2 linked regions of the Coturnix japonica genome follow. The protein of the gene in region 2 interacts with the protein of the main gene of each other region in a pairwise test. Links are inferred from orthologs where the notes say so. Each region holds a gene or a part of one and is shown on either strand. Other genes may lie near its edges.

What was found.
Region 1: the proteins of MYPN (region 2) and ANKRD1 interact in a two-hybrid assay, tested with the Homo sapiens proteins (2 studies listed by BioGRID). The link is inferred for Coturnix japonica from reciprocal best matches to the Homo sapiens genes MYPN and ANKRD1.

The regions. Positions count from the first base shown.
Region 1 is NC_029521.1:17,070,739-17,075,028, reverse strand, and holds the start of ANKRD1 (ankyrin repeat domain-containing protein 1), read left to right. Parts: upstream 1-1,209; 5' UTR 1,210-1,224; coding exon 1,225-1,464; intron 1,465-2,594; coding exon 2,595-2,729; intron 2,730-2,816; coding exon 2,817-2,924; intron 2,925-3,586; coding exon 3,587-3,685; intron 3,686-4,290. UniProt on the Homo sapiens protein: May play an important role in endothelial cell activation. May act as a nuclear transcription factor that negatively regulates the expression of cardiac genes. Induction seems to be correlated with apoptotic cell death in hepatoma cells.
Region 2 is NC_029521.1:8,506,430-8,510,746, reverse strand, and holds the start of MYPN (myopalladin), read right to left. Parts: upstream 2,948-4,317; 5' UTR 2,731-2,947; intron 1-2,730. UniProt on the Homo sapiens protein: Component of the sarcomere that tethers together nebulin (skeletal muscle) and nebulette (cardiac muscle) to alpha-actinin, at the Z lines.

The sequences.
Region 1 (4,290 bases), about 8.6 Mb from region 2:
CTGCATATGCTATAATTCTTTATCCTACTGTATTTCCACTAACCTTTGCTAGGGAAGAGGGCTAGCCACTGGTATAACTACACAGTCCTTTGAATTTTACATCAGAACATAACTCACCAAGAAATACATAACAACCAAAATTTAGCTGTGTGTTTTCCCTTGATCTTGATTGACACACTTATATGTCTAGAGCTACTAACTTTACAATCCCAATCCAATAAGAGACTGGGGAAAAGACAGCAATGCAGGGAACCAAATTATTCTCTTTCCACTTTTAATTCAACACCTGGCATTATTAACAGTTCTCATGCTCACTGCTATTTATGATACAACAAGTTTTGAAAGCCTCTATCTAAACCAGATCACAAGCAATAGAGTTCAGACTAATAATGACCAACAGTCTGGGAAAAGAGGAGTAATCCAGTAAAGCACTGGAGCATTATAGGGGGACTCTTTATTTTCTTTTTCCCCCAGATGGCACAGGTAAGATGAAACTCCCATACATGAATAGTCAGCACTATCCTAAACTTTTGGCAAGGCCCTAACAATTACTCTAGTGTTAAACTTAATCATAACATCCACTAAATTTAACAAGTTATCTCTTTGAACATACTTAACAAGACATCCAAAACATTTCCAAAAGCTATGAAGAGCTGTGCTGCAGCACAGCATCATGCAGCTTCAGCACAGCAGCTACCTCGCATTCATTTGCCAAGTGCTATAAATGGGAACTTTGGTACTGACAGCAATAGGTAAGATCAGCCTTGAAATTACTCAGCAACCCGATTTAACTGCACTGTGTTCCAGTCAGACTGTAAGGTCCCAATGGGGAAAGCATATCCTCCCACTCTGGCAGCTCAGTTCCCCTGCTCATGGGGTGCTGGTGCCTGCTCAGAGTGGCTCCTTCCAGCATAGCCTTTCACAGCTTTCTGATAGGTCTGATAAATGCTGGTGAATGGAAATGCAAGAAAATTCTGAACAAAAAGGATGTTCACAACTCAATGGCTTTTGTCAGCATAGCAGCAGCTCAGTGCCAGTCACACAGGGAGTTACAGTGAGGTGGCCTCATGGACTTGACTCAAACCCTGAGGATGCCAGCAGGGGATTGCTCTGGGGATGTAGAAGACCTGCCTGCAAACATGCTTGCCCCAGCTACCCACAAAAGCACACCTAACCAGGCACAGGCTGAACAAGGCCTGCAGTCAGTCTGCCACATGCTTACCCATGTTCCCAGGGGGTGCCTGCTGCGGTCATCAGACTAATGCTCATAACATGTTTTCTTTACAGGTGACTGGGAAGAAAACCGATGATAAAGATACCAGCAGCTTCCTGCCTGAGGACTTCAAAACTGGAGAGTATGAAGCTGAAGTAAAATTAGAGAAGCAAGATGACCTAAAGACAGCTTCTGATCACCTACCAACCCAAGCAGATATGGGTCACGCGAAGAAGCAGCATGAGGCAGAGGTAGGCTCTTGGATTTCATACTTGGGTTTTTATCATATTTCATACACTTTTTCAGTACTGTGAAGTTTCTCCTCTTTTTAAATTAGAAATACATGCATGGTGGGCTAGATAAACAAGCCCCTAGGAATTGCTGCCAAACAAAGTTGGTCTAACGCCCACTGAACGCAGAGACATGCTGACTCCTGCAGCCAACTCATGCAGGCAGTAACTCTAAAGCAGAACCCATGAACAAGAATTCATCTGGAAAAAAAACCCATACCATGTGGCAGGACCTCACCAACCTATTTACCAATATATTACTTAAAGATGCCAAGGGATAGAATTTGTCGTGAGGTAACTCTTTGTTTTGAATCATTCTTCCAAAGCCAAGGTCACCTCATGGTACCTGAAATCTTATGTTTCAAAGACAACACACTTGTCACTGATGCCAGCAGCGCCCTGTACTCACTTCATGCAGGGATGATTTGAACAAGGAGGCTTGAAGAAGACTTAAACACTTACTGAACTGTCTCTTCAAGGACATTGGTGGCATTCTTTCTAGTTTACCAGAATACAGCACTTACTGATTGAAGTGCTAAAATTGTTGTAAATCACATATCACATACTTCATTTAAGGGAGTTGGGTTTTTTTTTGTTTTTTGTTTTTTTTTTATAAATCAAAGAGAATTAAGTAACAATAAATCAGTGGCTACCACATGAAAGTGGTTGAAGGCAAAATGATTAGTGGAAGCCAGTTAAACCTGCAGGGGCCTCTCAGTCCTTATAAGCTGCAGATATCTTAAAATATTGGTCCAGAAGGGAATGCAGGGCTGCTTGGACTCCTGGCCTTCAACAAGCAAGAAAATCTCATGATATCCCACAACATATGGCTGAAGAAAGTGTTTAGGAAGAAGTACAATGGCATATGAACAAGCTGTAAACTATGCAGAATTTCTCATATACTTAGCAATGTATTCTAATGGTCCATTAGCCATAGACCTAGTACAAATCAAAACAAAACAGCAACTTATTTCAAAATTAAGCCAGTCTGGACTGGATTCAACTGAATGGTAGTACCCCCGTCCTGCCACTCTGGAGGGAAGAAGTGTTCGATCTCAGCTCAAACTGCTGCCTCTCCTAATTTGTTTCAGTTGAAGAAAAAACTACAGGAGAAATCAAAACTCGAAAGCTTGGAGGACCTTGAGAAAATTATTCAGCTGAAGAAGAAGAAGAAATGCAGGAAAGTGAAAGCTCCCCTTTTAAAGGAACCCGAACCAGAAGTCATTGTAAGTTTTGCTGTGAGCTCCTTTGGGAAAGGACCAACGGGCTTTTGTGCCACTTGTATTCATCTCCTGTATATTTTTCTCCATTAGACAGGGCCAGTGGATATAGCCATGTTCTTCAGAGCTGCACTGGAAAATAAGTTGCCAGTAATTGAAAAATACTTGTTGGACAAAGGGGATCCCAATGTCTGTGATGAGGTATGCTCTTCTTTCCTACTTTGCAGCCTGCTGCACAAGAAGGTTTATTACAGAACAAAAATAACTTCCACCAGTAGGTTTTATGGTATGCACAGTTTTGAGGAGGAAAGAATTGGGAGTGGGGTGAGATAAATAAATTCGGGAATTTTAACGTATTATGTATTCCATTGAGAAAGGGGCTGCTGGGATCCTCCTAAACAATATTACTTCAAAGGAATCCTTAAGTTTCAAATTAGTGACCAGGAGACCCTGATTTTCTGTAGCAGTTGAACTTCTAATGCTACAGATGAACAGACAAGAAATCTGTCTGCAGAAATACACACAAAAAAGCAATGCTGCTTGTATTCCATAGTGCATAAGCTGCATTTGCAAAATATTGCACAGCGTGTTGGATGGAGGAACTCAACAGGCATCACATTTTAAATTTGAATGCCACACTGCAGATATTCCTCACACCCTTTGAAATGCTGGATAGGCAGCTCACTGCAATTAAGATACTATTAAAATTTAGGAGATTTCAGGTCTCGAAAGCATTAGCTCTTAAAAATGAATCAGCATATCACGTAGATTTGCCATCATCCCAGGGAAGCAGAGATAAAAGATCTAAAAAGATCTTTCTGTGCCATATTTGATATCTGACTTGGCACTGTTTTAATTGACAGTACAAGCGTACCGCACTGCACAGGGCATGCTCTGAAGGACATCTAGAGGTGGTCAAGAAGTTGGTGGAAGCCGGAGCCCTGCTTGAACTGAAAGATATGGTATGTCCATCAACATGTGCTTCAAAAAAATTGCTCATTGTTTTGTAACTACTAAAATAAACACACAAGAAAAGCGCTAGAAAGACTTTACAGTATCTTCCAAGTTTATAATTAGAATAATGCTGCTGAGAAGAGGTTTCAGGAGGGGGTGTCTGTCTTGCTTGGCCAAAATTGTTGAAGGAAAATACAGGAATTAGAGGAGCATGTTCACCAATAGATCACCACAAACCATAAAGCCCTGAGAAGGGTAGGACAGCTGAAGTCAAATTACCATGTCGGGCTGTGAGCAGGTGCTGGAGGTAGCAGGGTCCCATTAAGGGCCCAGTGCACAGTATGCAAACTCCACCAGGAGATCCCTGTGCGCAGGAGACAGCCACACTGCTGAACACTAGCAGTTGTTTTTTCACTCCTCCTCTCCCAGTTCTTAGTTTGTTTGCTAAATAGGTGGCATTGGCCAGCCTTACTCCCCCTCATTCAACCAGCCATGCCCACAGTACTGTCAAATCAGAGGAATGGCAAGCAGAGCAACACCCACAGGTAAGAGGCAGCCCTTCCAGCAGAGCTTGGCTGTGGGGAAATAGGTGTTGGAGAGGTGGAGGGCAAAG
Region 2 (4,317 bases):
TTAGAGTTATAAACATACTATTTTAATACTTATGGTTATTATAAACTCAGAAGATAACCCAAGCAGATTTATAATGGTGAAGAGCTATTTAGGGGCTCAAGCTTGAACAAGAGGCTGGGAAAAATATAAAGATCATATGTCATTTGCTTCTTAGGAAAAGTGATTTCTTTATACCATTTATTACAAAGCAACCACTTATCTACCTTGCCAAATAAGCATTAGGTTAATTAAGGAAAAGTGAAAAGGAAAAAAATATATATATTGTTATATTGAGAGGAATTTAATTTGTAAATTTATGTTGTTTGTTGAGGAGTGTTTTCCTGGCTGAAATTGCTGCAAGCTTATCAACATGCATTATTCTTTGTGCTGAATTGCTTGTATTTGCAGAAGTTTTGTCACATTAGTCACAATATTTTGTACATGTTTGCAAGCTAAAAGCTTTGTAAGTCTAGAAGCTAAAAGCTTTACAAATTTACAAGATAAAAAATATTATGGAAGTGTTTTGTGATGAAACTGGAGTTTCATGCTGGCAGTCTGTATGGTTTTGGATGTCTCCACTGGGTCATGGGGTGTACAGAAGCTGTTGTGTCTCAGTTTGATGGTGTGGAAATGCTGGGCCTTTTCCTAAGGGAGTCTCAGAAACAATTTCTCTTGAATCTACAGTGATTACTCTCAGAGTAATATCTGTGTGTGTTTAAAGGTCATCTTGCTGCTCTAGAGCCCTGCCTAGGAGATGGAAATAGCTGTGTATCATTCTTTTATGGAAATAAGTAAATATGTCTGTGTAAAGCGGGGATAATGCAGTACCCCTCAACTAACCAGTTCTCTTTGGGATCAGTGATCATAATTAGTGGTGCCCTAGTAGCATGCTGACATCAATAACAAGAAAGCCTTCGTCAGTCAGACAAGGGTGATGAGTCACTGATACCACCCTCCTTATCCAAGAAAAAAATGCCAGCTAAATGCAATGGAGGTTTGGCACAGGTGGCTGCTCTACTATTTCTGCTTGAAAATGATATATAGCTGCTTTGGCCTCCTCTTACAAGCTTGAAGTTTTAAACTGAAGCCACTTTTTCCTGTGCTGGCATACCAAACAAACAAAGAAACAGTCTTCTAAAAACATTATCCCATGATTTTCTGGCGATAAGTCTCTAAATCGCTCATTAAAAAATCAACTGCAAAATTGTCAGCATCTTGCACAACTCCTGTGTTGTTAAATAGAAACAAAACATTGTGGCAATTTTCCTTTTCTAAATGGTAGCTTGTTAATTATTGGGATGCAAGATCTCCAGTAACATGAGGAGTCATTAAATTTTTCTGCATGTGAATTGTGCACTGGGAAGCAGTAATAATTCCATTTTTCCACATAGTTATAAGTTATTGATTGCTGATCTTGTGCAGCTTACTGTGCTTCTCTCTCCTAAATCATATCAACATTTTTTTGGAATCTTTTATTCCAATGCTAATATTGAAACATATTATAGGAAATAAAGAGTTATGTTCTTCCAAGCACTCCAGTCTCAGTCTGCTCACATATCATTTCTCTGGAGGCCCTTAATAACCTGTGCAAGAAAAATCTAATTTTCCACCTATCCAAGAGTCTTCATCCACAGTGAATATTTAATACATTTTTGAACAGAAATCTATACTGAAGTTGATACCAATGGCACAGTCCATGCTGTACCAAATATCGTTTGCTAACTGCACCAAAATAGATCTTCAAGTATCATGTCCCTCTGGGTTTCAGTAATACCCATGAAATCATTAGTCTCATCCTAAATTAAACTATGAAAGCTGCAAACAGTGCTATCTAACCATCTTTACCAAACAGAAATACCTCTGTCACAGAACAGTCCCATATTTGTGAGAGAGAGCTCCAAGCAGAAATAGGTCTGGTCACATTTTATGCCTCAGAGTCAATTATTTCATTCCCATCTACTTTTCCACAATGTCCTACCATAGCAATAGAGAAAAAAGCAGGTCCTGACACTCATGTAGGCACAGAGCCACACAGACTATCGCACAGAACTGGTGGCTGAGTCCCTTGCTTCCTAGGGAATCATGCTGTCTTTCTTCTCTCCCAGCAATCAGCCCTAACATTCATTAGTTATTTTGCTTATTGTGCCCTCTGGTATTCAAATGTTTCCTTACAGTTTATTTTTTCCCCCTTATTTGCAAATTTCATGTTGTTCCAGGACCTTTTCCTTTACTCTTGTACCCAAAAACATCCATGCCTACCTTCCCATTGCCATATAGTTTATTTCTCTCAAATCTTACTCTTTGCAAAGCCCAAGAAATGGGATGGAAAGAGAACTGAATGTCTTTTAACTATCAGTCTGGCTCAGCAGAGATGGGGGGCTTTATCATGATATTTCTGGATCCCAGAACAGTACTATTTTTTCTTTTATTCTCAGTTCAATTCGATGAACAACAACCTTAATTCTGTGAATTACATGCCAGTTCTGCACCTCCCAACACCTCCCCACCTCCTCCTTGACCCCCCCCCACCCAAAAAAAAAAAGGAAAAAAGAAAGAAAATAGATCATCACTGTTGTTTTCACCAGTAGTTTTCCTCTCTACTGTTTCCCAAGCCCACTGAGAGAACAAATCCCCACCACCACTTGCATAATCGCCTTTCTTCTTTCACACTAAGGTCACCCTGTGCTCAGGATAAGAAATTACACTAAGCAGAGCAAGATGGAAATTTGCAAAGAAGCCAAGAGTTCTCACCATGAAGTAGTGGGACCTGTCTGTGCGTGAGCCTCAGTTCTTGTCCTCTCCCATGCCTCTTTGTTCTCCTCAGTGCAGCCTGCTACCTTTCTGCTTGCTCTTTACGAAATAGTAAGACGGCTAATTTTAGGGTGCTTCATCATCCTGCCATGCAAAGACACAGTGTCATGTCAGAATCAGCTACATGTGGCACCACTTGGAGCTGCTATTTTGTAAGCTGAGGTTCAGTGTGTCTTCAAATTGGTCTCTGCAGGGCTGAACTGGCTCAAATATTATCTTGTACTTTTGGAGGAGTTCACCTTAAAAATCAAAGTTCAGTATTTCAGCCTGACCAAAAGCACAGTTTAATGACGTGGGAATTGGTGTGTCAGCATCCAACTTCAGCAAATGAACAAGCAAAAAACCAAACAAAAGGTGAAATGGAAATTTCCTGGTGTTTATTCAGCATGTAGCCTGTTCCACTGTTGTTACATGCTAGAAAACTTAATGTAATAGTACGAAACATCACAGCAATAGGAGGAGAACATGTCACATGCAGGAGGGGCTGCAATCCTAACCCTCTCTGTGTGGGATGCTTGAAAATAGCCAGCATCTTCAGCCCCAGCCTGCAGATGATCAGGCACTTCTGTGGCTTTTGCCACACTGCCAAGGAAACTGAGTAGTTGCTCCGAGTCTCAGCTGTTCTTTGTGTGGGCTCGGGGATATTGGATACACTCAGAAGTTTGTGAGCACAAGAACTGCATACCTCGTGCAAAGGTCAGGTTCCCTTCATTGTGGTCTTACTGTCCAGCATCCATGGTTGTCCTTCACTGCTTTTCCATTTTCTGTACATCTGTCATCCTGTGAGTAGCATTCTTTTTGTTATTTTAGCTTCATTTTGTAGCCTGGAGGCATGAAGGATAGGCCTTTTGTTCTTATCTACTTGGAGGTATGACTCCCTTGCTTCTCATTAACAGCTCCCTTAATTACATGCCTCAGGTTAGACAAAGAGCTTGCAATCTTTTAGACTTAGCATCTATGTGGTGACTTAACATTCAAAAACGTGTCAGAAAATTCTTTTTTCTTTCCCCCCACTATTTTGCCATCAGTTACCAAATAATTGGTCTCACTGATAAGCACATTTACATATGAGCTGGCAAGAATCACTACAATGTGCAGGGTGTGCAGGCTGAGAACCACCATGTGCTCAGCCTGTAAAGCAGCGGAGCATAGGAACAGCCATTAATTCACTAACATCCAATATTGACATTGTGAAAAATGTAAGGATAAAACAGAGAAACTGAAATACCATAAAGAGGTTTGTCACTGCCTTGTTTGTAATGCCATTTGCTTTCTAAAGCCTTTCCTTTGTCTTAATCAAGAAGACACTACTAAACAAAGGCTTGTCACAAAGGTTAGCAATTTCTCACTGCAAAAAGCTGACACCTCTAATTTCATGTTATCAGCTGTTCTGGACACACACTTCTATTTTCTGTTGTCTGTAACACATCAAAGGATTAAAAAAAAAGGGGGAAGAGGGTTGAAATGAGGAATTAATGTTTACAAAGTACGTACTGACTGCTGCTGGGAGAAAATGGAGGCAGAGGG